Linked DNA regions of Macaca mulatta. The main gene of each other region encodes a partner of the protein of the gene in region 2 in a complex. Links are inferred from orthologs where the notes say so. Each region holds a gene or a part of one and is shown on either strand. Other genes may lie near its edges.

The links.
Region 1: the proteins of BANF1 (region 2) and EMD are in contact, whole or in part, in a crystal structure (PDB 7NDY), measured with the Homo sapiens proteins. The link is inferred for Macaca mulatta from reciprocal best matches to the Homo sapiens genes BANF1 and EMD. Residues at the interface, in NP_001137457.1 of Homo sapiens: Arg37, Phe39, Gln48, Val51, Leu52, Lys53, Asp55, Leu58, Glu61, Trp62, Asp65; in NP_000108.1 of Homo sapiens: Pro22, His23, Gly24, Pro25, Val27, Ser29, Thr30, Arg32, Leu33, Tyr34, Lys36, Lys37, Glu40.

What each region holds. Positions count from the first base shown.
Region 1 is NC_133426.1:160,529,311-160,541,578, forward strand, and holds EMD (emerin), read right to left. Parts: upstream 6,008-12,268; 5' UTR 5,910-6,007; coding exon 5,828-5,909; intron 5,705-5,827; coding exon 5,600-5,704; intron 5,435-5,599; coding exon 5,357-5,434; intron 5,143-5,356; coding exon 5,009-5,142; intron 4,555-5,008; coding exon 4,505-4,554; intron 4,421-4,504; coding exon 4,093-4,420; 3' UTR 3,686-4,092; downstream 1-3,685. UniProt on the Homo sapiens protein: Stabilizes and promotes the formation of a nuclear actin cortical network. Stimulates actin polymerization in vitro by binding and stabilizing the pointed end of growing filaments. Inhibits beta-catenin activity by preventing its accumulation in the nucleus.
Region 2 is NC_133419.1:8,409,673-8,420,974, reverse strand, and holds BANF1 (barrier-to-autointegration factor), read left to right. Parts: upstream 1-4,150; 5' UTR 4,151-4,156; coding exon of another isoform or gene 4,157-4,182; 5' UTR 4,183-4,239; exon of another isoform or gene 4,240-4,665; intron 4,666-4,901; coding exon of another isoform or gene 4,902-4,917; coding exon 4,918-5,040; intron 5,041-5,292; coding exon 5,293-5,439; 3' UTR 5,440-5,805; downstream 5,806-11,302. Other genes in the region: probable RNA-binding protein EIF1AD, read right to left, coding at 771-915, 1,524-1,571, 1,740-1,848, 2,235-2,343, 2,479-2,565. UniProt on the Homo sapiens protein: Non-specific DNA-binding protein that plays key roles in mitotic nuclear reassembly, chromatin organization, DNA damage response, gene expression and intrinsic immunity against foreign DNA.

The DNA.
Region 1 (12,268 bases), on a different chromosome or scaffold from region 2:
CTGGTCTGGCAGGGCCTGGGGGCAGCGGAGGAAAAAAATCCAGTATCTTCTTGGACAGTCCCCAGAGTGGCCTCTTGCTGGGACCTTGGGCAGCTGCTGCCCCCTGCTGTGTGTCTGAGTACTGCTGGAACCCTGCGGGGGACCCCAGATTATTTGGGGGCTTTTGAAAGCGGGGCCACAGTGGTCTCTCAGAGCTCTGGAGAACATTTAAGTGGAGGCCTGGAGGCTCTTGAGGCCCATGGAACCTTCCTAATCCTTCTGGTTCCAGTTGGGGCACCCAGTGCACTTGGGTGTGTCCAGAGTAGTTGGAATCCCTCATGGGGTTCAAAGCCCTGGGGGTTGGACAGATCACAGGATGAGCTTGGCAGAGCTCTGAGGAGCCCTGGAACAGGGAGGGAGTACTCCAAGGCCCACGGAGCCCTGGGGATTGGTGACCAAGCCCAAGTGGGAGGCCTCAGGAATCCAGGGGGAGCTCAGGGAGGTGGTGGGAGCAGAGCCCTGGGGAAGGCTGTGGGCCCTCAGGAGCAGGGAGTCTCTGAGCCCTGGGGTAGGAGTCTTGCAGCCCTTGTCATTCCCTGGGGAAATGGGGTGGGGACTCCGGGAGCCCTCTTCCATCCAGTCTTGGGAGCTCTTTTGGAATGAATGAAAAGGGGCAAGCTACGTTGGGGGTGGCCGCTGTTCCTTCCTTCCCTCTCTTCCCTCACGCCAGACACCACAGGGGTTGCCAAGTACACCCGGCTGCCTCCTCTTTACTCCTCACCTGTAACAGATCCAGGACCTGACCTAAGGCCTAGAAAGCACCATTTCGTCCAGATACCTGGATATCTCTTTTCCCTCCTTGGGATGCCCCAAGCCCAGCTCCACATCCCCCATCTCCCTGACACCGGCTATTACTCCAGAGCTTTGGGATGTCAACCTTGCCTCCACCCCAGGTCCCATATAGGTTCCTGCTAGGCCCCATCTGCCTCTGTCCAGCCACAATCCGAAGTAGTGAGTGCTTCCTGGGGGAACTGGACTTCGGTGAGTTCAGTTCTTCCTGTCAGTGTACTTGGTTTTTATCAGCTGCTGAAACAGGAGGCTGTCACTGCATCCCTCTAGGGTCCTGGTAGTAGCAACCTGTTTGTTCTGCCCCCCACGTACAGGCTTATTAATGGGACCATTGGGTCCCTAAGGTGGACCTGTGAGGAGGTGGCATCCCCTGCGCATGCCTACCACCTGCCATGGACCATCCAGGTCTCGCCTGCTGCAGGGCCAGCCATCAGTCTGTTGCATTGGGCTTGGGATGGTGAGGGGCAGAGGGCAAGGGCTTGGGGAGTCCACACAGCAAGTGGCTGGGCTCTGGGAGTGAGCTAGGTAAGAGGAGCTTATAACAAACAAGAAAGGCTGAAACTGAGTGGTAAGAAAATTAGAAGTGCTTCGCTCTTTTCTGCATGTTTTCAACACACAAGGACCATGCACTATTTTAGGACCAAAAATATACATGAGGAGAGACTAGGATGCAGCCAAGATAAATGGTCAAGAGTAGCCAGGGAGGGTCCCAGCCCCAGCCCTGCCTCCACGGGTGCATGTGCAGGCACTGCATGGGAGCTGTGCCAAGTGTGGGAGGCTGGCTTGTCCCACTACCTGCAGCAAGGAGCCAAAGGCAAGGGGGACTAATGCCAGCACCCCACCCCTTGCTGGGCCTGTTTCCCACCTGCCCGTGTGCAGTGGATGGCAGCCCCTCTGTGCTTTCCCGCCCTCTGCCGGCAGCATAGAGCCAGGCGTGCCCAGCAACATGTGGCATTGTGTCTTGGGTTGTTTTTTTTTTAATTATTATTTTTTTTTTTTTTTGAGACGGAGTCTCGCTGTGTCGCCCAGGCTGGAGTGCAGTGGTGCGATCTAAGCTCACTGCAACCTCCGCCTCCCGGGTTCAAGCGATTCTCCTGTCCCAGCCTCCTGAGTAGCTGTGATTACAGGCATGCACCACCACACCCAGCTAATTTTTTGTATTTTTATTGGAGATGGGGTTTCACCATGTTGGCCAGGATGGTCCCGATCTCTTTACCTTGTGATCTGCCTGCCATGGCCTCCCAAAGTGCTGGGATTACAGGCATGAGCCACCATGCCTGGCCTGTCTTGGGCTTTAGTACCCACTTTCCACTTAAAAAAATATATGTAGACCAGGCACAGTGGCTCACACATGTAATCCCAGCACTTTGGGAGGTTGAGGTGGGTGGACCACGAGGTCAGGAGATCGAGACCATCTTGGCCAACCTGGTGAAACCCCGTCTCTACTAAAATACAAAGCATTAGCCGTGCATGGTGGTGCACACCTGTAGTCCCAGCTACTCGGGAGGCCGAGGGAGGGGAATCCCTTGGACTCAGGAGGCAGAGGTTGCGGTGAGCTGAGATTGTGCCACTGCACTCCAGCCTGGCAACAGCAAGACTGCATCTCAAAAAAATAAATAAAATAATATATATATGTATATACAGGTATATATCTATGTATATGTATGCATATATATGTATATATGTGTGTATATAATATAAACTTTGAGCACAGTGGCTGACACCTGTAATCCCAGCACTTTGGGGGGCCAAGATGGGTGGATCACCTGAGATCAGGAGTTCGAGACCAGCCTGACCAATATGGTGAAACCCCATCTCTACTAAAAATACAAAAATTAGCCAGGTATGGTGGCGTGTGACTGTAGTCCCAGCTACTAGGGAGGCTGAGACAGAATTGCTTGAACCCAGGAGGCAGAGGTTGCAGTGAGCCAAGATGGCGTCATTGCACTCCAGCCTGGGTGACAGAGTGACTCCGTCTCAAAAAAAAAAAATTATATATATGTATATATAGAAGATTATGAAATACATACCCAGGGCAGAAAACCTGGGAGCTAAGTGAGAATATAGGCAGGTGAATTCCATCACCCAGGGATGATGGGGCATTTCAGCCTTTGGAGCTTTTCTCCCATGTTAAACAAGCAGCAGTTCCAGGAGCTGAGAATGATGTGCCAGAGATGCTTCATTTTTTTTCCGTCCCCATGCCCTTGGACACTGGGGTGGACTTCAGCTTTTTCCAGTTAAAACACCCGCAGACTGCTGGTAGCATGCATGCAGCTTTGCCTGAATTTTTTTTTTTTTTTTTTTTGAGACGGAGTCTTGCTCTGTCACCCAGGCTGGAGTGCAGTGGTGCGATCTCGGCTCACTGCAAGCTCCGCCTCCCGGGTTCCCGCCATTCTCCTGCCTCAGCCTCCCGAGTAGCTGGGACTACAGGCGCCCACCACCTTGCCTGGCTACTTTTTTGTATTTTTAGTAGAGACGGGGTTTCACTGTGTTAGCCAGTATGGTCTCAATCTCCTGACCTCGTGATCCGCCCGCCTCGGCCTCCCAAAGTGCTGGGATTACAGGCTTGAGCCACCGCGCCCGGCTGCTTTGCCTGAATTTCTAAGTGGGTTCTCTGTATACGCCTTGTTGTACCACAATTATATGTATAAGCAGTTACAGGTGCTTTGGGGAATGAGTTAGGGAATAAAACTCCCAAACAAAACACAAACATCTCTGGGTAGCATTTGATTCCTATCCCCAGACCAAAGCAAAAATGCGGACCCAACAAAGCCAGATTGCAATCCTCGAGTCCCAAGACGCAGAGGCCCTTGCCATGGGAGCCCAACCCTCTCCTCCAGGAAGAGCCAACGCATTAAAAATAAATGGGGTTTTTATTGTGTGTCCACGAAAACAAAGGGTGGCCTTTGGTTAATCCCCCCCAACAAGATGACAAAAAGGAGGCATGCATGACAACAAGAACCATGTTCTCCTCTGACTGAGCGAGGCCTTGCCCTCCTGGACCCTAAGGGTTACAGGCAAGCAGGGCCAGGAGGCTGCCGAGGAAAGCACACTCAGGCCCCCATGGAGGGCCTGAATCTGCTGCCTCCCTGGTGGGACAAGGCAGGGGGAGCAAGCACTACTCTGGGCTAGGCCCAGCGCCCCCCAAGCAAGAACACATAAAAGCCCCTGCCCCTGCCCCTGCCCCCACCCCCACCCCCACCCCCACTGCTAAGGCAGTCAGCCAGGACTTCCCCAGAAGACCTGGCTCTGAAGCCCAGACCCTCATGGCTCCCTCTGGAAAGGGTTGCCTTCCTCAGCCTGCATGAAGTAGTAAATGAAAAAGAGGACGATCACAAAGACCAGGAAAAGCAGCAGCTGGCCCCAGAGTGGGACCTGGTGATCCTGGCCCAGCCCAGCCCCAGGAGCATGGTTTTCAGGCCGGATGGCACGGCGGGTGAGCCATGAAGAGGAAGATGATGAGGAGGACATAGAAGAGGTGGAGGAGGAAGTAGGATAATAGGACAGGTCCAGGGAGCTCCTGGAGGCTGAAACAGGGCGGTAGTGCGCGATGCTCTGGTAGGCACTGTCCCGGCCGTACATGGGGCGTTCCCTGAGGCAAAAGAGGGGAACAGGTGGGCCAGGAGCCTGGGTCCAGAACCAGCCCCTGTCCCTGGCCTTCCCCATACATACATACCTATCCTTGCACTCCTCTTCAGAAGACGACAAAAGGTCGTCATCACGTACCTGTAGAAGAGAGTCAAGGTGAGGGAACTGGCTGGCAGGGCCACAATGGCCCTGCCACGTCCCTCTCAAATTTCCCCAGCAGGTCCCCTCTGACCTTTGGTTAAAGGCCAGGGACCCACACCCTCCTGAATGACTCTGGGTGTTCGGCCTTTTATCCATGGGGCCTTGCTACTTGTGCTCATGCCCCAGCACCCCCCTTTGCCCCCAGGACTCTCAGGAAGAGCTGGAGCCTAGATCCCAGACCAGGGTGCAGGACGCATCCTATGTGCTCTAGTCACATAGTTCTGAGGGCTCCCCAAAGTAGGACCCTGACCAAACAGGTGTCTGCTGAGCCAAAGTCTCCCCAGAGGCCCAAGGGCCACCATTTGTACCCAGTGGCCCCCTGGATTTATCCAAACACAGCCGCGATCCCCTAGGTTGTACCCAAGTACAGTACGCCTGCCAACCAGCTCACCTGGTGGTGGAAAGTGTCAGCATCTGGGAGTGAAGTCACAGACTGGCGGAAGCCCCTGGACGGGCCCGCAGACTCGGGCTCCCCATAAGTCCTGGTAGTGAAGTAGCTCTCTTCATAGTAGTCGTCATTGTAGCCTTGGGAAGGGGGGCAGCGGTAGCAGAGGGGGCATCGGTGTGCCCCGCCTGGCCCGATGGCCCTAATCTGAATCCCATTTCGGGACCTGTGACAGTTTCTCCCTCCTAAGGCTGCTGGAGTGGTTGGGACTGAGGTCTCAGGTCCTCCCTGTGAGCGGGGTCCCTGACGCAGTCGGGTGAAGGTGCCAGCGTGCCCACCCAACCCCTGCCTTACCCTTGCTCTGGTAGAGTAAGGCGTCCTCTTTCTTGGGAAGATCATACATATCTGAATCCCCTGACGTCGAATTCAAGTCTGGATTGAAAGGAGGAGACAGAACTGTTTGCCCCCCCACCCCCACCCCCACCCCAAGACTTCCCTCCCCTTTCCCCAGTGCCGCTCTCGACCGGCACCCCTGCCACACCCTCGCTACCTCATCCTCCCCGCGTCCCAGGCCGTCCCCACAGGCGAGGCTCTCACCAGAGAAGCGATAAGAGGAGGCAGCGGACGAGCCGGGGGGCGAGAGCCGCCGCCTCTGGGTCTCATACTCGAAGATCTTCTGCTCGTAAAGCCTACGAGTTGATCCTGGCCGGACACGGGGCGGTCAGGGCCGCGGTCCGGGGAAGGGGCGCGGGGAGGGCAGCGGGGAGGTCGCGGGGCGGAGCACGAGGAGGGGGCCCGGAAGGGGTCCCGCCCGCCGCCGCGTACCTACTACAGGCCCGTGCGGGATGTTGTACCGGCGCAGCAAGGCGGTCAGCTCGGTATTTGAAAGATCTGCGTAGTCGTCCATGGCGGGTGCGGGCTCGGGCGGAGGCCTGGCGGCGGCCCGGGCCTACCAAAACCGGCCGAGCAACGGCTGCCTAGGAGCACGGCGGGGGCGGCACGAGTGCATCGGGAGCGGCCGCACTCGCGTCACAGCCGAATCGCTGTCGCGTCACGGCCGCTGGCTTCGCAGGCTGCGCGCGCTGCGCTGGGCGGGACCTAACGGCGGGAGTAGCCGGCACAGACCGGCCGGGCCTTGAGAGCTGGGAGGCTGGGGCCGCGAGCCCAAACGTCATCAACTCACGGATTGGCTAGCGGCAGAGGGGGCGGGCCCCCGGGAGTCAGGGTGGTGGGAACCGGTCTCGCGGTGGGAGCGGGCGGGGCCGCAAGCCCATATGTCACAAACACGGGAATTGGCTAGTGATGGAGGGGGCGGGGCCCGCGCAGGCGCGGAGCAAAAGGTCTTGCGTTGGGAGCGAGCGGAGCGGAGAGCCCTTACGTCACAAACATGGGGATTGGCTAGCGATGGAGGAGGCGGGGCCCGCGCGGGCGCGGGGCAGAAGGTCTCGCGGTGGGAGCAAGCCGCGCCGCGAGGGGCGCCACACGTCACTAACGCACGGATTGGCTAGCGGCGTAGGCGGCGGGGCCCGCGCGGGAGTCAGGGCAATGCAAACTGGTATCGCAGTGGGAGTAGGCGGGGCTGCGGGCCCAAAAGTCACAAACGCATAGATTGGCTAGCGGCAGGGGGCGGGGCCCGCGCGGGAGTCAGGGCGACACGGCTGGGAGCCAAGACGTCACCCTGTGGCGCGCTTGAGCCAGCCGGGTGAGAGGGATGGGGCCTGCGCGCTAGGGACCCGGGACGTGCGAGCGGGCGAAGTCGGCGCTTGGGGTGGCTCTGGTCCCTAAGTCACTTGGACTTCGCCCGGTCCCTGCACATCCCTGCTCCCCGCCGTCGCCCCCCTTTCCTGGGCCCCAGAGCCTAGGGTTTCCCGGCCGCATCCCGGTCGGCCGCCCCGGCAGCGGACCCTAAGAGAGCGCGGGCCCGGGGCCAGGCACTGCCGGGGGCGCTTTGTGTGCGCATTGCTCGGGAAGCGGCTGCGGGGCAAGGCCCGCGCCTATGGGATCTCCGCAGACCCCCTGCCACGGGCCCTTCTTCCCAGTCTGCAGGGCTCTCGCCCGCGCACATGTGCCTGCTGCTTCCCACCGCCTACCTCTCTGCTTCCCTTCCTCCTCCCTCACTCTACCCGGGAGGAAATGGGGCACTGGGCCAGGAGGCCGCTGGCACTCCAGAAGCAAGCAGCCTTCGAAGGGGCCCGGGCATGCCGACGGGCACGCCAGTGGGCGCGGGCAGAGGGCGCCGTGCGATGCGTACAGAGACAACGTGTGCCCGCCTAATCCTTCATGCCGTTCATTCACCCGGGGCACTGGGGGGAGCTGCAGCGGGGCGTCCTCTCCTGTCGGAATAGTCCCTGAGGGCAGCGTGTCTAGGCAGGGGGCAGACGTCGGTGATGAGCTATGGAAGGCTGCCAAGGCCTGCTCAGGAGCCTGAACTGTGGCTAGGATTCCCAGGGCCTTGATCAGATATGGGCTGTCCCATGGAGAAGGGAAAGGAGGTGACATTCATATCTTTTTTTTTTTTTTTTTTGAGACAGAGTCTCGCTGTCACTCAGGCTGGAGTGCAGTGGTGTGATCTTGGCTCTCTGTAGCTTCCACCTCCCGGGTTCAAGTGATTCTCCTGTCTCAGCCTCCAGAGTAGCTGGGAGTACAGTCACATGCCACCACGCTTGGCTACTTTTTACATTTTTAGTAGAAACGGGATTTCGCCATGTTGGCCAGCCTGGTCTCAAACTCCTGACCTCAAGTGATCAGCCCGGCTCGGCCTCCCAGCAAAGTGCTGGGATTACAGGCATGAGCCACCGCACCTGACTGTGACATTCACATTCTAAACAAAGCCAGCTGAGGGTGTATGGAATCAACTAGTGTGCCCCTCACTGGGTAGGCCCCAAACTGGGAGCATGAAGAGGTGACATACCATCTGTGGTCTCACAGATGAGGGCTGGTGACAAGGGAAGAAGAGGGGAGGGCTCTGGTTGTGTCCAGAATGACTGAGCCAGCTGGTGAGGGTCACAGACCAGTCATCCATGGAGGTTTGCCCATGGGGTGGGAAGAGGTAGACACCTAGGGGAGTAATGAGGAGATGGGTCTTTGTTTTGACTACACACAAAGATCCTAACAAAGAGGAATCACTGTTGGTAAGGCCCTGCTCTGTGCCCAGCAATGTGGGAGGAAGTATGGGTCCATGAAGACAGTGCCTGGCAGTGTGCAGCAGGAGAGCCTTGGGTAGGGCAGGGGTTTGCACCTCATCTTTCAGAGCTGAGGGGACAGATGGCAGTTTGGACTCTGGGCTGCTCAGAGGCTGCCTCGTGGATTTTTTAGGTTTGACAAAATCAGATTCCCCAGCACCTCTGCAAGCCTTCTGCAATCCTGGCGCATCTCCCAGAGGCCTCTGTGTACTAAGTGCTGCTCCATCCTCCCCCATGCCACCCCTCCCCATACGGATCCAAGCTGTTTCCTTATGAGGTCAAGGAATTCTAGATTTGCCTTCTCCCTAAGGAGCACCCCCCACCCGTTCTGTACCTGCCTCGGCACTCTGCCTTTTATGTCCCACCCCTTTGCCCCACAATCAGGTCCCACCACAGATGGCACCAGGAAGCTGAACTGTGATGGTCCCCCTGCACCCACCCTGTGGGTACCTGGAGCCTAAGTCCAGCCCCATTGCAGTGCAGCTCCACTCCAGACCACTGGAAGCCAGGCAGGCTCCTGAGCAGCAGAGCGTCCATCTTATACCGGGAGAGTCAGGACCCTGTGATCAGGGGAGACTTGTCCAAGAGCCCTGAGTACAGCAATTAATTCATGGAACATTCCCCCACCAGTACCTGGTCCCTGGGGTTGATGACCTGGACAGCCTCAGAGAGTTTCCCGTCAAGGGTAGGGTGGGATTTGCAGTCGTCAGAGGGTCTGGGAAGGGCATGTACAGGAAAATCTGAGGGTCTCCAGGGGATTCTTCCTGGGAAGTGCAGGCAGAGGAGACATCGTGGTGCAACCAATTCTAAGTCAAGAATAAGAAAACTGAGTTGCTCCTTAAGGATGGAATGGCTGGCAAGCAGTATATGTTGTATAACTTACAATCCCAACGTGACTGAGTTATGAGGAAAAAATATCAACATGGAAATATTCCTCAGTATCTATAACAAGTAGATGATTGTTCACTGAGCTGTTAACATTTTATTTTTATTTTTATTATTTTTTTCTGAGACAGAGTCTAGCTCTGTCACCCAGGCTGGAGTGCAGTGGTGCGATCTCAGCTCACTGCAACCTCCGCCTCCTGGGTTCTCGCGATTCTCCTGTCTCAACCTCCCGAGTAGCTGGGATTACAGGCGCCTGCAACTATGCCCAGCTAATTTTTGTATTTTTAGTAGAGACCGGGCTTCACTGCATTGGCCAGGCTGGTCTTGAACTCCTGACCTCGTGATCCACCCACTTCGGCCTCCCAAAGTGCTGGGATCCACTGCGCCTGGCCTTTTTTTTTTTTTTTTTTTTGAGACAGAGTCTCACTCTATCACCCAGGCTGGAGTGCAGTGATGTGATCTCGGCTCACAGCAAACTCTGACACTCAGGTTCAAGCGATTCTCCTGCCCCAGCCTCCCAAGTAGCTGGGATTACAGGCACCTACCACTGTGCCTGGCTAGTTTTTATATTTTTAGTAGAGACGGGGTTTCACCATCTTGGCCAGGCTGGTCTTGAACTCCTGACCTCGTGATCCACCCACTTCGGCCTCCCAAAGTGCTGGGATTACAGGCATGAGCTACAGTGCATTTTTTTTTTTTATGTTTAATGACAGGGTTTCACTGTGTGACCCAGGCTGGAGTGCAGTGGTGAAATTATAGCTCACTGCAGCCTCAAACTCCCAGGCTTAAACGATCCTCCCACCTCAGCGTCCTGAGCAGCTGAGACTACTGGTGCATGTCACCACACCCAGCTAATTTTTATATTTTTGGTAGAGATAGTGTCTTGCTGTGTTGCCCGGGTTGGTCTCAAACTCCTGGGCTCAAGTGATCCACCTGCCTCAGCTTCCCACAGTGCTAGGATTATAGGCGTGAGCCACCATGCCCAGCCAATGTTTTCTTTAAGATCAGAATCTTCTTAATACTAAACAAACTTAACTTTCGTGTCCCCATGAGCGGTCCTGTTTCTGCTGCCCACCCCAGGCCAGACCTGGCAGTGCCCGATCCATGGCAGTCAGGCTCATCCCAGGGCTCGGAGTCCTGCAGTCCCGTCCTGGGGCCCTGCCTGAGGTAGGCGCCCAGCAAATGCCTGCCACAACCTGTTGCCCCCACCCCAGGAAACACAATCCCGACTTGGGACAGACACCGGGGGGCCGTGACTGTGGGAGGCTCCTTGGAGAAGGTGGCCTTGGGCCTGGGCCTTTCCACCTGGGGTGCGCTTGGCTCCCCCAGACTCAGACACGCAGCATCCTTGTGATTGGGCCTACACATGAGCCCTGCAGACCCTGTGGGGGCTGGGGGCGACTCTCCCTGAAGTCCTCCCTCCCCCAGGGCCTGGTGGCCCTCGAGGGTGGTGAGCTTGCTACTGTTGGTGTAGCTGGTTGGAGATTCAGTCTTTGCAGCAGGAATGGAGCCAGTTCCAGTTCTCTGCCATCTTCAACGTAGGGAGATGTCATGATCTTCACAAGGAATGACTGGTGTTATAGAAACCTTTGTTCCCACTGCAACCTGGAAAAAGTAGACTCAAAGAACTGCTTGTGTTTAGAGGGGGTGTGTGTGTGTCGGGGAGCGGTGCAGGAGTGGAAAGAGAGGGTTCAAATACAGCGGGGATCTTGAGACGCAGCCAAGCAGCCACTACCTCTTTCATGCTCCCTCCACCTGTTCCGGTGCCTGTGGGTGGGCGGGATTCCCTCCTCAGGATAGCCTTGGCTGTGATTCGCAGCACAGCTACCTCGAGGGCCTGAGCTCAGGTTTCTCATCTAGCAAGTGGCTTCCCCAGCAGGGCACACACACTGGATGGAGCAGCTGGAGATGAGCCCCTGGGCCTGTTGGGAGGTTTCCGCGGGGCTTCGGGGATGAAATGCCATTGCCAGCAGAGGCAGCAAGACCTAGAGGGCAACCAGTGCCTTGCCACAATGTTAAACTGGGGATTGCAGAACTAAATTAGCAGGTGTGAGCAGACTCCCTTCTTCCCTCCCTCCCTCCCTTCCACCCTTCCCTCTTTGGAATAGAATAGAAAATAGCAGCCTACTCTTTGTTTCAAATCTGTGTGTCTGTGTGTGTGTGCTGGCTCACAGTGTCAACTGTAATTCTTATTGGGGGTTGTGGGCAAGATGTTACAACGGCACTGCTTTATGCGGCTTTCCCCAAGGAAGTGACATTTGAGCTGAATCTGAAGCTACCAGGAAATGGGCACATAGAAGAGGAAGAGAGAGCCTGGCAGTGCCAGGGCGTGGCTGTGACCGCCATGTTCACAGACACTTGGCTCTTTGGCTGCACTCCGCTGCACACTCCCAGGCTCTGGGACTGCCCCTGAGTGTCCACCTGAGCGGTCCTGTTTCTGCTGCCCACCCCAGGCCAGACCTGGCAGCGCCCGATCGGTGGCAGTCAGGCTCATCCCAGGGCTCAGAGCCCTGCGGTCCCGTCCTGGGGCCCTGCCTGAGGTAGGCACCCAGCAAACACCTGCAACGACCTGTTGCCCCCACCCCAGGAAACACAATCCCGACTTGGGACAGATACCGGGGGGCCGTGACTGTGGGTGGCTCCTTGGAGAAGGTGGCCTTGGGCCTGGGCCTTTCCACCTGGGGTGCGCTTGGCTACCCCAGACTCAGACACGCAACGTCCTTGTGATTGGGCCTACACATGAGCCCTGCAGACCCTGTGGGCGCTGGAGGCGACTCCCTCCCCTCCGCCGAAGTCCTCCCTCCCCCAGGGCCTGGCGGCCCTCGCCGGCGGTGAGCTCATCTCGGGGGGCGGCGTCGCCTGGCGGCGGGTCGCTGGAGCTCAGGGCGCGCCCCCGCACCCCGCCCCCCACGCACCCGTCCCGGGCTCCTGGGCAATTTTACCAATTAAGGCTTTCTCGCCAGGCCGGGCCGGGCGCGGGGCGGGCGCGGGGCGGGGATGCGGCCAACAAGAAGGCGGGCGGCGGCGGCCCATTCGCGTGGAGGCGCGTCGCGCGCAGCGGACGCCGACAGAACCCCGAGGCGCCCGGCGCGGGCGCGAAGGCGATCCGGGCGCCACCCCGCGGTCACCGGCCACCGGTCGCTCTCAGGGACAGCAGGTGAGGTCTCCGCGGCCCGGCTTCGCGCCTTGCGCCGTAGGG
Region 2 (11,302 bases):
GATGAAGGGTCAGGGTGGAAAAGCAGCCTCCATTTAAAAGGTTACAAGACAATCAATGTCCTCAGGGAATACTCAGGTTTCAATTAAAGTCAGATGGCCGGACCATTCAAAACAAAGGTAAGGACAGAGAGATTTGCCAGCCACCTTCTGGAGCTGATGGATGGTGAAGAGTGGTGGGAGAGACGGGATGGCATGTGGGGATGGACACAGTAGCTGGAGGTGAGCACTCCCGTACGCAGGGTGACTAGAAAGGCGGGGAGAACAGCATGAGGCACCATGGGCTCCTGAGCGTCTCTTAGAGGCAGGTGGGTGTTAGGTCCTAGGACTGTCATCCTGAATGCTTGAATCGGTACGAACTGCAAGCAGGCAAGGAAGCAGGAAGCTCCCAGCTGTTACACACATGCAAGGAGGCCCAGCGCAGGGCCTGGCACTTTCTAAGTGCCCAGTAAGAAAGAACAAACAACCGGGGAAAGACTCCAGCCATTTCCCATTTCCTTCCCATTCAGCCCACCCAGTCACAAGGTCTCTTTACCAGGGAGCAGTTCTTCACCTCACCACAAGCCTCCGTCCCCCGAGAGAGCCACTCAGACACCAGAACAAGTCACCAACCCACCAGGGGTTTAATTCTCCTAATCAAAACATCAGTTCAGAGAGGGGCCCTGCTTTGTCCCCATCCAGGGATGAAGATCTGCAAAGCACCCTGGGAATGTCCAAGCCCAGAAGAGCCAGGGGCCCATCCCTGAGCAAGTGGAAAAGTGGGTCCTGGAGTCTCAGGTGGCCTCCTCCTCTTCGCTCTCCTCCTCACTCTCATGATACTGTCTGCGGTTTGTGTTAACAAACAGGTCAGAATCATCTTCTGAGCTGGACTCCTCTCCTGATAACTGTGGCTCAGCTGGGAGTTCTGGTTGAGTTTGTCTGCACGAAGGGAAAAGAGCAGAGTTAGCCCAGCACCTTCTGAGAAAACCAGATCTACAATCAAGGAGTTCCAAAAAAAGGAGGACCATCCGGCCCAGCAGTCAGGGCCCTACAGCACCCTTTAAAGACTAAAACAAGGGACAGAGGCAGAGCAAACAGTGGGGAAACTTGGCTAGAGAAACAGGCTAAAGACTGACCCCAGTCCCCAAACATGTGCCACAGCCATTTGTTTCAGTCAGGAATAATGATTCTACGACCACCAACTAATGCTTAATGAACCCGCATCACACACCAGATGCTGCACTAAGCAATTTTACAAGCCATCCACTTCTTTAATCCTCACAATGCTCCCATTTTATATATAAGGAAAATAGAGTTGGAAGGAATTAAATGACGTGCTTAAAGTCATTCAGCTTTAAGTGGCAAAGCCAGGATTTTAACCCAGAGAATCTGACCTTCAAGCCACATTCATAACTATGTACCACATACGTAGGAGCTCTCAACAGATACCCTATGTAAGGAGGAAAAAAGGCTCTATTTTTCCCTCAAGGCACCAAAGCATGAACCCCTTATTTTCCATGTGTCCCACCGCAAGGCTTGTTTCTCACCTGTTCCTGTTGTTGTGTTTCTCAGCCACTTCAGAGAAGGCCTCAGGCCTATGCCAAGAGATGAGCAAAGTCAGGGAGGACAAATCACTTTCTCACAAAAGAGCTGTTTCCAGCTGTCTCTGCCTGGGATGCCATGACCTTCCCTCCCCTAATTCCCAAGCTAGGAAGGCAATGCCTTCAGAAGCCAGAGAGTCAGTGATCAAGGGGACCACCTACCAAAAGCCCTCCTTCTGCAGGGAGCGCACGTGGTCCTTGCAGAGCACAAACGAGATCTCAGCCTTCACCTTTTCTCCCTCTTCAATGGGGTCAACAATGAGAAAGTCTCCTGTAGGTAAGAAGAGAAAAGGCAAAGTCAGGCCTGCCTGCAATAAGGAAAGCCAAAGCCATAGGAAGTGGTTCTATCTCCTAGAGAGGGCTGCCTCTCTCACCTCCCTGTCTCTCTTTTTTTCTTTTTTTTTTGAGACAGGGTCTTGCTCTGTTGCCCAGGCTGGAATGCAATAGCATGATCATAGCTGACTGCAGCCTCCACCTCCCAGGCTCAAGTGATTCTCAGGCCTCAGCCTCCCGAATAGCTGGGATCACAGGCACGTGCCCAACTAATTTTTTACTTTTTGTAGAGACAAGATCTCATTATGCTGCCCAGGATAGTCTCAAGCGATCCTCCCACCTCAGCCCCTCAAAGTGCTGGGATTACAGGAGTGATCCTCTCACCTCTCTTGATCCAGATGTTCTTGCGGTATTTAGAGGGCATGCTCACCAGGAAGCGCTGCCCTTGGGCTGTCTCCACCTCATGCAGATTGTTCCCTGGGGTCCTGAGTACCTGGTTCAGGAGAGACCAAGAATCAGTCTCATCGGTCAAACACTCTCTCAGCCACGCGCACCCTGCCACCACCCCAGGGGCCCTCCAGGGCTGGAGGGGTGGGGAGCAGAGCAGCTTGTGCCCAAAGCCACTCACCCTGACAATCTGCTGCTGGTCGGAGGGCACGATGTGCTCCCCCAGCACCTCCTTCACCACATGCTTCCTCTTGGTGGCCTGAGACATGCTGAAGTTGTCCCAGGGTGGTTAGGAACGAAGAGACTGTCAACTCCTCCTCCTGAGTTCCTTGGATGGCAGGCTCAGAACCCAGGACTGTTCTGAAGATGGGGAGGGGCCTTTTACTGAGGGGTGACACGGTGTCTTGGTTAAGAACATGGGCTCTGAAGTCTAACTGCCTGGATTCAAATCCTACCCTCATTTATTTCCTAACTATTCAACTTCTCTAGGTCCCAGAAAAATAACAGCTAACTCAGCACTGTTACAGAATGGGACAACAGTGCATGTCATGTAAAAGTAACTCCGGCAGGGAGCTGTGGCTCACGCCTGTAATCCCAGCACTTTGGGAGGCCGAGGCGGGCGAATCACGAGGTCAAGAGATCCAGACCATCCTAACACGGTGAAACCTCGTCTCCACTAAAAATACAAAAACTTAGCCGGGCGTGGTGGCGGGCGCCAGCTACTTGGGAGGCTGAGGCAGGAGAATGGCGTGAACCCGGGAGGCGGAGCTTAGAGTGAGCCGAGATCGTGCCACTGCACTCCAGCCTGGGCAACAGAGAGAGACTCGGTCTCAAAAAAAAAAAAAAAAAAAAAAAGTAACTTCTACAATCTTAGGTACTGGTGTAATGTAAAACTATAGGAAAGTTCCAGATAAATCATCCTGGCAACCTCTCTGGAAGGAGTTTGAAATAAACCGTATCTTTCTCAACACGCTTGTACACCCCAAGTCTGGCACAGTCACACAACAGAGAAGTTCAGTCTGGCAACACACTACAGCCGGAGACAAATTAGGTGGCCACCGTGATGGTCCAAGCCAGGAACTAGTTAATTAAAGGTTGAGGTGAGCAGGCTTGTCTGCGACATCTGCATTTTTCTGACTTGCGTACTTAGAAGACGAGGACCAGCACCCTTAAGACTGATGGTTTCCGAAGGAAACACTGTCATCTCTAGTTGCCGTTCTCCTTCCTCCTCCCTGTCTATCCCGGAGAAAAGACCCTCAGAGAAACACCCACACTCAGTCTCTGGCCCTGGGCTCCCAGGAACGCTGCCGGAGCAACCCCGCTGTCCAGGCTGGACGCTGAGAGAGGATCGTCCACGACTCACTTCAAGGCTGAGCCAAGAAAACACAGTAAAGGAACTTGCCGGCGGCCGCGACGGTAGCGTCACCTCGAAATCAGGTCTCCAGCGTTCCCAGTTCCCACCAGTCCCACTGCGAGGAGTGCGACGTGAGTCTGAGTCGGATCCCTCCGAAAACCGTCTTCCGGCGCTGTCTCAGAGGCCTCCCGGCCACCCGTCCCCTCCCTTGTCCGTCTTCTAACTCTTCCCTACGCCAGGTCGGTCAAGCCTAAGTCCTTGAGTTCCGGGTCCGGGCAGCACAGAAAGGAAGTTCTCTCCCTGTAGGCCTCTCTCCCTCAGAACTGCTCGAGGAGCGAGACCTCAGAAGACAGGGCTTCCCGCGAAGAACCGGAAAGGAGCGCCTACTAAGGACGCCGTCGAGGTCCGTGGCGCCTCAACTCTATAGCTCTAACTGGCTAGAAGGGCCCAACGTGGAAGGTTTTTTTTTTTTTTAAAAGGCGGCTGAGGCGACCCGGAAGCGGAAATGGAAGAAAGTTCTAGTGGCTTGACGTATCCGCGGGAGCAGCAGGGTGGCGGGAGGAACCGTTACGGGAACTGAAGCTGCCGGTGAGCGCGAGCCGCGGAGCAGGGCCCTGGCTGGAGGCCAGAGGGATTGCGGGGAGAAGGGGAGGAGAGGGGCCGCAGGCGCTGTGGCGGGCCCTGGGGGAGAGTTTGGCCGCGCTGCGGGGAGGGGGCGGGGTGCGGCGCGTGGAAGCCGGGCCGCGGGAGGGGGCGGGCCGCGGCTGCGCGCGATGGGGGCGGAGCTGGGGTGCGGCGTGTGCCCCGTGGACGCGTAGCGGGTGTGCGCAGCGCTCGGTGTGCGCTTCGCCCTGTAGGTAGAGACTCTGGTTAGCTTTCCACGCCAAGTGGCTGTTCCAGGCAGTCAGTACCTTCTTGGCTCAGCCAAGGTCACAGAGGGAGTGACAGCTTCCGGGCAGCCCTGGCTACTGACTCTGGGAATCTTCCCACTGCCCCGCTTGCGCCACCTGTTAGGCAAGATTGTTTTTCTTCTGGGGCAAGATCAAAATCCAGGTCCTGCAGGAAGAAACTCCTTTTCAGAATAGTAGGGAAGAGTCTCCCTGGATCTCGGTTTTCTCCTTTCAGGATGAGGGGGATAGAGCAAGCCACCGGAATCCCTGGCTTGGCTGCCTCTTACTGTGAGATTGCTAGTGGGCTCTTAGGAGTTCCAGGTCTTCAGCCCTAATCTGCCTTTCTTTTGGGATTCCTAGATTAAGCCTGATCAAGATGACAACCTCCCAAAAGCACCGAGACTTCGTGGCAGAGCCCATGGGGGAGAAGCCAGTGGGGAGCCTGGCTGGGATTGGTGAAGTCCTGGGCAAGAAGCTGGAGGAGAGGGGCTTTGACAAGGTGTGGGGTGGCCGCCTGTACCTGGTGCAGGCGGGGGTGGGAGGGAAGTGAGTCCATCTGCTAGGGGGTGGACAGTGGGGTATAATCTGAAGAGGCTGCCAGAGCCTGGGCACCTGGTGGAGAGGAGATGGGGGCAAAACCCACGCTGCTTCTTGGGCTTGTGTACTCTGAATGGCACAGGAATGGCCGCCTTGCTCTTATCCCTCACTGAACACTGAGCAGCACACCCCTTCCTTTTTCCCTGTTTTGCAGGCCTATGTTGTCCTTGGCCAGTTTCTGGTGCTAAAGAAAGATGAAGACCTCTTCCGGGAATGGCTGAAGGACACGTGTGGCGCCAACGCCAAGCAGTCCCGGGACTGCTTCGGATGCCTTCGAGAGTGGTGTGACGCCTTCTTGTGATGCTCTCTGGGAAGCTCTCAATCCCCAGCCCTCATCCAGAGTTTGCAGCCGAGTAGGGACTCCTCCCCTGCCCTCTACGAAGGAAAAGATTGCTATTGTCGTACTCACCTCCGATGTACTCCAGGGTCTTTTGGGAGTTTTCTCCCCTAACCATTTCAACTTTTTTGGATTCTCGCTCTTGCATGCCTCCCCCGCCCTTTTTCCCTTGCCAGTTCCCTGGTGACAGTTACCAGCTTTCCTGAATGGATTCCTGGCCCCGTCCCTCACCCCCCACCCTCACTTTCAGTCCGTTTGATACCATTTGGCTCCTTTTTGGGCAGAACAGTCACTGTCCTTGTAAAGTTTTTTAGATCAATAAAGTCAGTGGCTTTCATGACTGGGCTTTGTGCACTGAAAAACAAGTGGGCTGGGAGTTGCCTCTTCTCCAGGGACGGACCATGTCTCCCTCACTCCTTATCAGTAGAGACCGAAACTGGCAGCTTCCCTTCCACTCCCAGAGGGCAGTCATGCTAGCCATGTAGGCCTCAGGCAGGTGACTTGTGTCTCAATCCCCGAGTGATGTGGGAGAGGGTGTGGGTGGATCTTTTCCTGGGAGCCAGATGGACGGTGCTCCAGATGTTAGTTAAGTCAACAGCTGGGCTAGGCAACACCTGGTGGAAAAGTCAGTGGGAGTCAGAGGTACCAGACAGGGTGGGCCAGATGTGGGTGAGAGTTCACCTGCCAGTCAGCATATCATCTGCTCTCCTGGCCTCGGCAAGGGTGAGCAGGGCGCTTGCCATCTTCCATGATCTCTTAGGTAGGAGAAGGAGCACAGGCATCACAGCTGGAAGGATGTGAGGGGAGTACACCTCAGTACATTTTAGTCCTATTCTTTTTGTTTACTTTTTAACTTAATAGAGACGGCCCTTCTGTGTTGCCCAGGCTGGCCTTAAGCGATCCTTAAGCCTCTCAAAGCGCTATGACTATAGGTGTGAGCCACCATACGTGTCCAGCCCTGTTATGTCTTGAACACTTAGTATGAACCAGGCTTGAAGCTAAAATCTTTGCAAACATTTTTTTCTTTCACAATAATAATAATTTTCTCTTTTACAGGTGAGGAAACTTGAGGCTCAGAGAGGCGAATTTGCCCGTGGACTTGCTCCTGGGAAGTAGCCAGACTGGAACTCAGAACTAGCTTGGAAACGCATGGACCGGGCCCTGTGTTCCTTGGTCATGTGGCTTATCCTCTCTGAGTCTCAGTTTTCCCACTTGGAAAATGAGATGGTTGTAGGGAAAGGATATTTGCAGCAGTGTGAACAACAAAGGAGTATTTCCGTAGCACAAATACAACTGCAATCAAGAAAAAGGTGGACTGGCTGGGCGTGATGGCTCACGTCTGTAATCCCAGCACTTTCAGAGGCCGAGGTGGGTGGATCACCTGAGGTCAGGATTTCAAGACCAGCCTGGCCAACATGATGAAACCTCATCTCTACTAAAAATACACAAATTAGCCCGGTGTGGTGGTGCACGCCTGTAATCCCAGCTACTCAGGAGGCTCAGGCAGGAGAATCGAATTTGGGAGGCAGAGGTTGCAGTCAGCCAAGATCATGCCATTGTACTCCAGCCAGGGTGACAAGAATGAAACTCGGTTTCAAAAAAAAAAAAGAAAAAAAAAGGCAGACAGCACAACAGAAAAATAGGTAGAAGACCTAAGATGGCCACAGAAGAAGGTTCCCTCCCAGTAAATAAGCACAGGAAAGGTGCTCCATATTGCTAGTAATAAGACATCACATGCCATTAATACCCATCTGACTGGCAAACACTTTTAAGTTGGACAATACCAAGTATTGATGAGATAGTGAAGCAACAGGAACTGATACCCAGCTGGTGGGAGTATAAATTGATCTAAACAATTTGGGAAGACAGTTGGGTGTTACTTAGTAAAACTGACACACCCTGTGACCAAGCAGTTCCACTCTCAGGACTGTGCCTTTGAGAAAGTCCCCAACACCTGCAGCAGGACTGAGGCGAGTTCGCAGCTGCAATGCTGGGAGCAACACTAGCGGCTGTCAATACTGGAGTAGATAAATACGCATTCATGCCACCGGGCACTGAACGGAGGTGAAAATGAACAAATGATAGCTGTGTACAACACAAATCTCCATAGCAAATGAAGCCAAACAAGTTCGTAGGAATTCCTACATAGATAGGAAAACAAAGGAAATGATTATGGTAAATGGTAAAGGAAAAAGTCTACAGTGATTATCTTTGGGGGAGGATGTGGAAGGGCTTAAGGGTAGGCTTGGCCTACCCTGACCTGTGTTTCTGGCCTGTGGGGTGGTGGTACAGGCATTGACCAAAAGAGTGTGTTCTACGCCCTTTTCTGTGTATTAGCTACATCTCAGAACAATAAAAATATAAAAGGAAAACCAAAAATAAAGACCTGAGGCTGGAACGATCGTGTGATAGGTCAGAAACTAAATTGTTATTTGTAGGGATGAGAGTTCTGGGCAAGGCTGGGACCGGGAAGTGCGAGTGGCCCAGCCTGAAAGGGACACTGGGGTGGCTGCAGCAGGGCCTAGCTTGTGCTTCCTGCCGCTTCCTGGGAGGCTGCTGGTCTGAGGCCTGGCTGAAGTCACGAGGGCTCTCTCTTGAGTTTCATACTGTTTCTGATGTCTTCCTGGGTAAGTCCCCTCAGCCTTGACCCTCGTGCTGTGATGCTGTCGCAGGCCTGGTGTGTTGAGGTGGGGACTTTGCAGGACCCTGGCCTCACCCACACCTCAGCCCTGATGCTGCCAGATTGTTGCTGGTGCTCTGTGAGGTCATGGAGACTCCCTCCTCCTCCACGAAGCCCTTGCCTGGGCTCCTGCCCACACTGGCTTCCTGATTTGGCCTCGCCTGACTCTGGCACTAGGAGCCTGCTGGAAGCCTGCGGCTCATGCTGTCTGCTTTATTTCCTTGCCATCTGCCTTTCCCAGCTCACCCACAGGCTTTGCCTTAGAAGGGGCTGGAACCTGCCTTCTCACCTCTCCCTTGGGGCACGGGCAGTGAGTATACCAGGTGGCAGGCCACAAACCCTTTATTAGGACTCCATATTGCATCCCACACAAGTTCTTGGCTCTGTCCTGGGACAGCAGTAGACAAAGGGTATCTAGAATGTACCTTGTGACAGTGTGGCCTCTCAAATCCAGCCTGACTCAGCCAGCAGGACAAAGGGACCACAGCTTGGAATGCTGGTGCAGAAAGCAGACCTGGTGGTGAGGGGTGAGAGTCAGGTTGTCTAAGTGTCAGCCCATGGTACCCAACAGGACATGCCTGGCCATCCGCTAGCCTGGGACATGGGTGGGCCCGGAGATCAGCAAATACTGACCCCGTGTCCCCATGCCCTCACACCCAGCCAGAGCTTGACACCCCTCAGCCGATCTAGTCATGAGTGCTCAGAGCCCGCCTAGAACCTGGTGTGAACACAGCCCATGCACTCTGGGGTCCTGAAGGGCTCCTGCTGCCCCCGGAAAGGAAGTAAGCGGAGGCTACCTGGAGCACCACAAGCCCTGCCCCGCGGAAGCCTGCTGAGCATGGAAGGCTCCCAGCAGGTGCTTGTGACAGCTGATGCCCTTCCAGGCTGGCCCCTCCCTGCAGGGACCAGGGCTCTTTCCTGTCACTCCCAACCTTGACTGATGGCAGCCTTGAAGAGCCAGCCAGGCCCGATTCTGGGCCTTTGCTCTCCATGCAATCTGGAGCAAGTTGCTTCACTCCCTTGAGCTACAGCCTCCTTGCCAGCTGGTGCAGGGTTGTGAAGATTCAACCAGTGAATCAGCAGCGCTTAGGAGCGCTCCTCCCCAGAGGGGAGCTTTAATCCCTGTTGGATTACAGGTTTCCTTGCCGAAGGATCTCCTTTTCAGGATATGGGACTGCAGAGCCCTGGGGGAGGGCAATATCCTCTGCCCAACTGAAGGTTCAAGGAAGAGGGTTCTGGGGGAAGCACCAAGGCCTTGGAGGGCCTGATCCCAGAGGGAAGGAGATGTCAAGAACCTGCCCTGGTCATCTCTACCCATCAGGCCAGGGGCAAGAGAGGGGTGCTGTGGACAACCTGGGTTGGGATGTCTGGGCCACTGCAAAACTGGAGGCTGTGCCCTGTGGCCAGTACATTTGACCGACCTCAAGCTCACGTTTGGCCCAAACCTCCTGGAAGCCAGAGTGGTCCAGACAGGATGGAGTCAGGCCCCAGGAAAGTCAACTCAGGGACACCCCACCTGCAAGAAACAACCCTACACCATGCACAGTAGACCTCATACCCCTGTAGAGCAGCCAAGGACTCATGTGCCAGGACCCACCACTACCCTTCCCCTTTGACCTCCCATTTCCTCCTTGTAGGAAGAGGTGATAATCATTGCCTCTGCAGCTGCTATGGGAAAGAAAGAACATACATTGAATCCCTGGCGCAAGGCCTGGCACACAGCAAGAGCTCTTATCATTGTTAACCCCACTCCCCACCTTTTCTCACCAAGATACCAATTCTAGCTGTGTGACCTTATACAAGTGTCCCAACCTCTCTGATTAACTTTTTCATCTGCAAAGTGAGGATAATGTGTACTCCCTCAGGGTGCTTGTGAGAATTAGTGAGTGAAAAGTGCTCAGAAATTGCTAGGTTGTACTGCAAAAGAGTCCTTGGCATCAGCACAAAGCAGTGGCAGGTGGGGTGAGTGCCCATGGTGAGTCGAGTCGCAGACAGGCCTTGGCTAGTTTTTGAGAGAGTGTTGGAGGTACCTGGGGCTATGGCTAAGCTCCAAGTGATGAGACAGCAGGCCTAGGGGAGCTGCTTCTCCCACCTCGCCCCTGTGGCACAATCCTGGGCCTCTTCCTCTACCCCTCCCAGGCTCTCAGCTCAGAGTCCTGGCCAGGCGTCATCCTCCTGATCAACTCAAGCTCGGCCAGCACTTCCACAAACTGGAGTCTGTCCCTTTAAGCCAGACACCTGAGGCTGCCAGGAACTTGTGACGGTTCCTTAGAATCCCAGGAAGATGGCAGAGTTAGTTTTCCACAGCTGGGCTGAGGAAGTGAGGCAGGTAGCAGGCTGGCAGCTGCCCTGGGCAGTGAGTGACTGCTCTGGTCTAGGTCTCTGTGTGGGAAATCACTTCCTTTTGTGGTCTTGGAATTCTAAGGCCCAGAATCAGGAAGGGAGGGTGACACGCTGGATGCCTATACACAATATCCATCCCAATGAGGGCTGCCGGCTGCTCTTTAAGTACTGTGACCTAGCACCTCTTCCAAGCCCCAGTGAAGCCCCTGGAGGCTCTAAGCACTGCAAGATCTTAGTGCCGGCCGGGCGCGGTGGCTCAAGCCTGTAATCCCAGCACTTTGGGAGGCCGAGACGGGCGGATCACGAGGTCAGGAGATCGAGACTATCCTGGCTAACACGGTGAAACCCCGTCTCTACTAAAAAATACAAAAAAAACTAGCCCAGCGAGGTGGCGGGTGCCTGTAGTCCCAGCTACTCAGGAGGCTGAGGCAGGAGAATGGCGTGAACCCGGGAGGTGGAGCTTGCAGTGAGCTGAGATCCGGCCACTGCACTCCAGCCTGGGTGACAGAGCAAGACTCCGTCTCAAAAAAAAAAAAAAAAAAAAAAAAAAGATCTTAGTGCCCTAGGGACAATAAGCCTCTGCCTCCCAGCAACATGGAATTACAAGTACAAACTACAGTGAACTCTAAAATGCAGACAAATAATTCCAGCAAGGCCTGCCTGTAATCCCAGTGCTTTGGGAAGCTGAGGTGGGAGGATCTCGTGATCTCTTGAGGCCAGGCATTCGAGACCCACCTGGGCACTACAGTGAGACCCCCATCTCTACAAAAAAATTTAAGAATTAGCCAGGTGTGAAAAAAATTA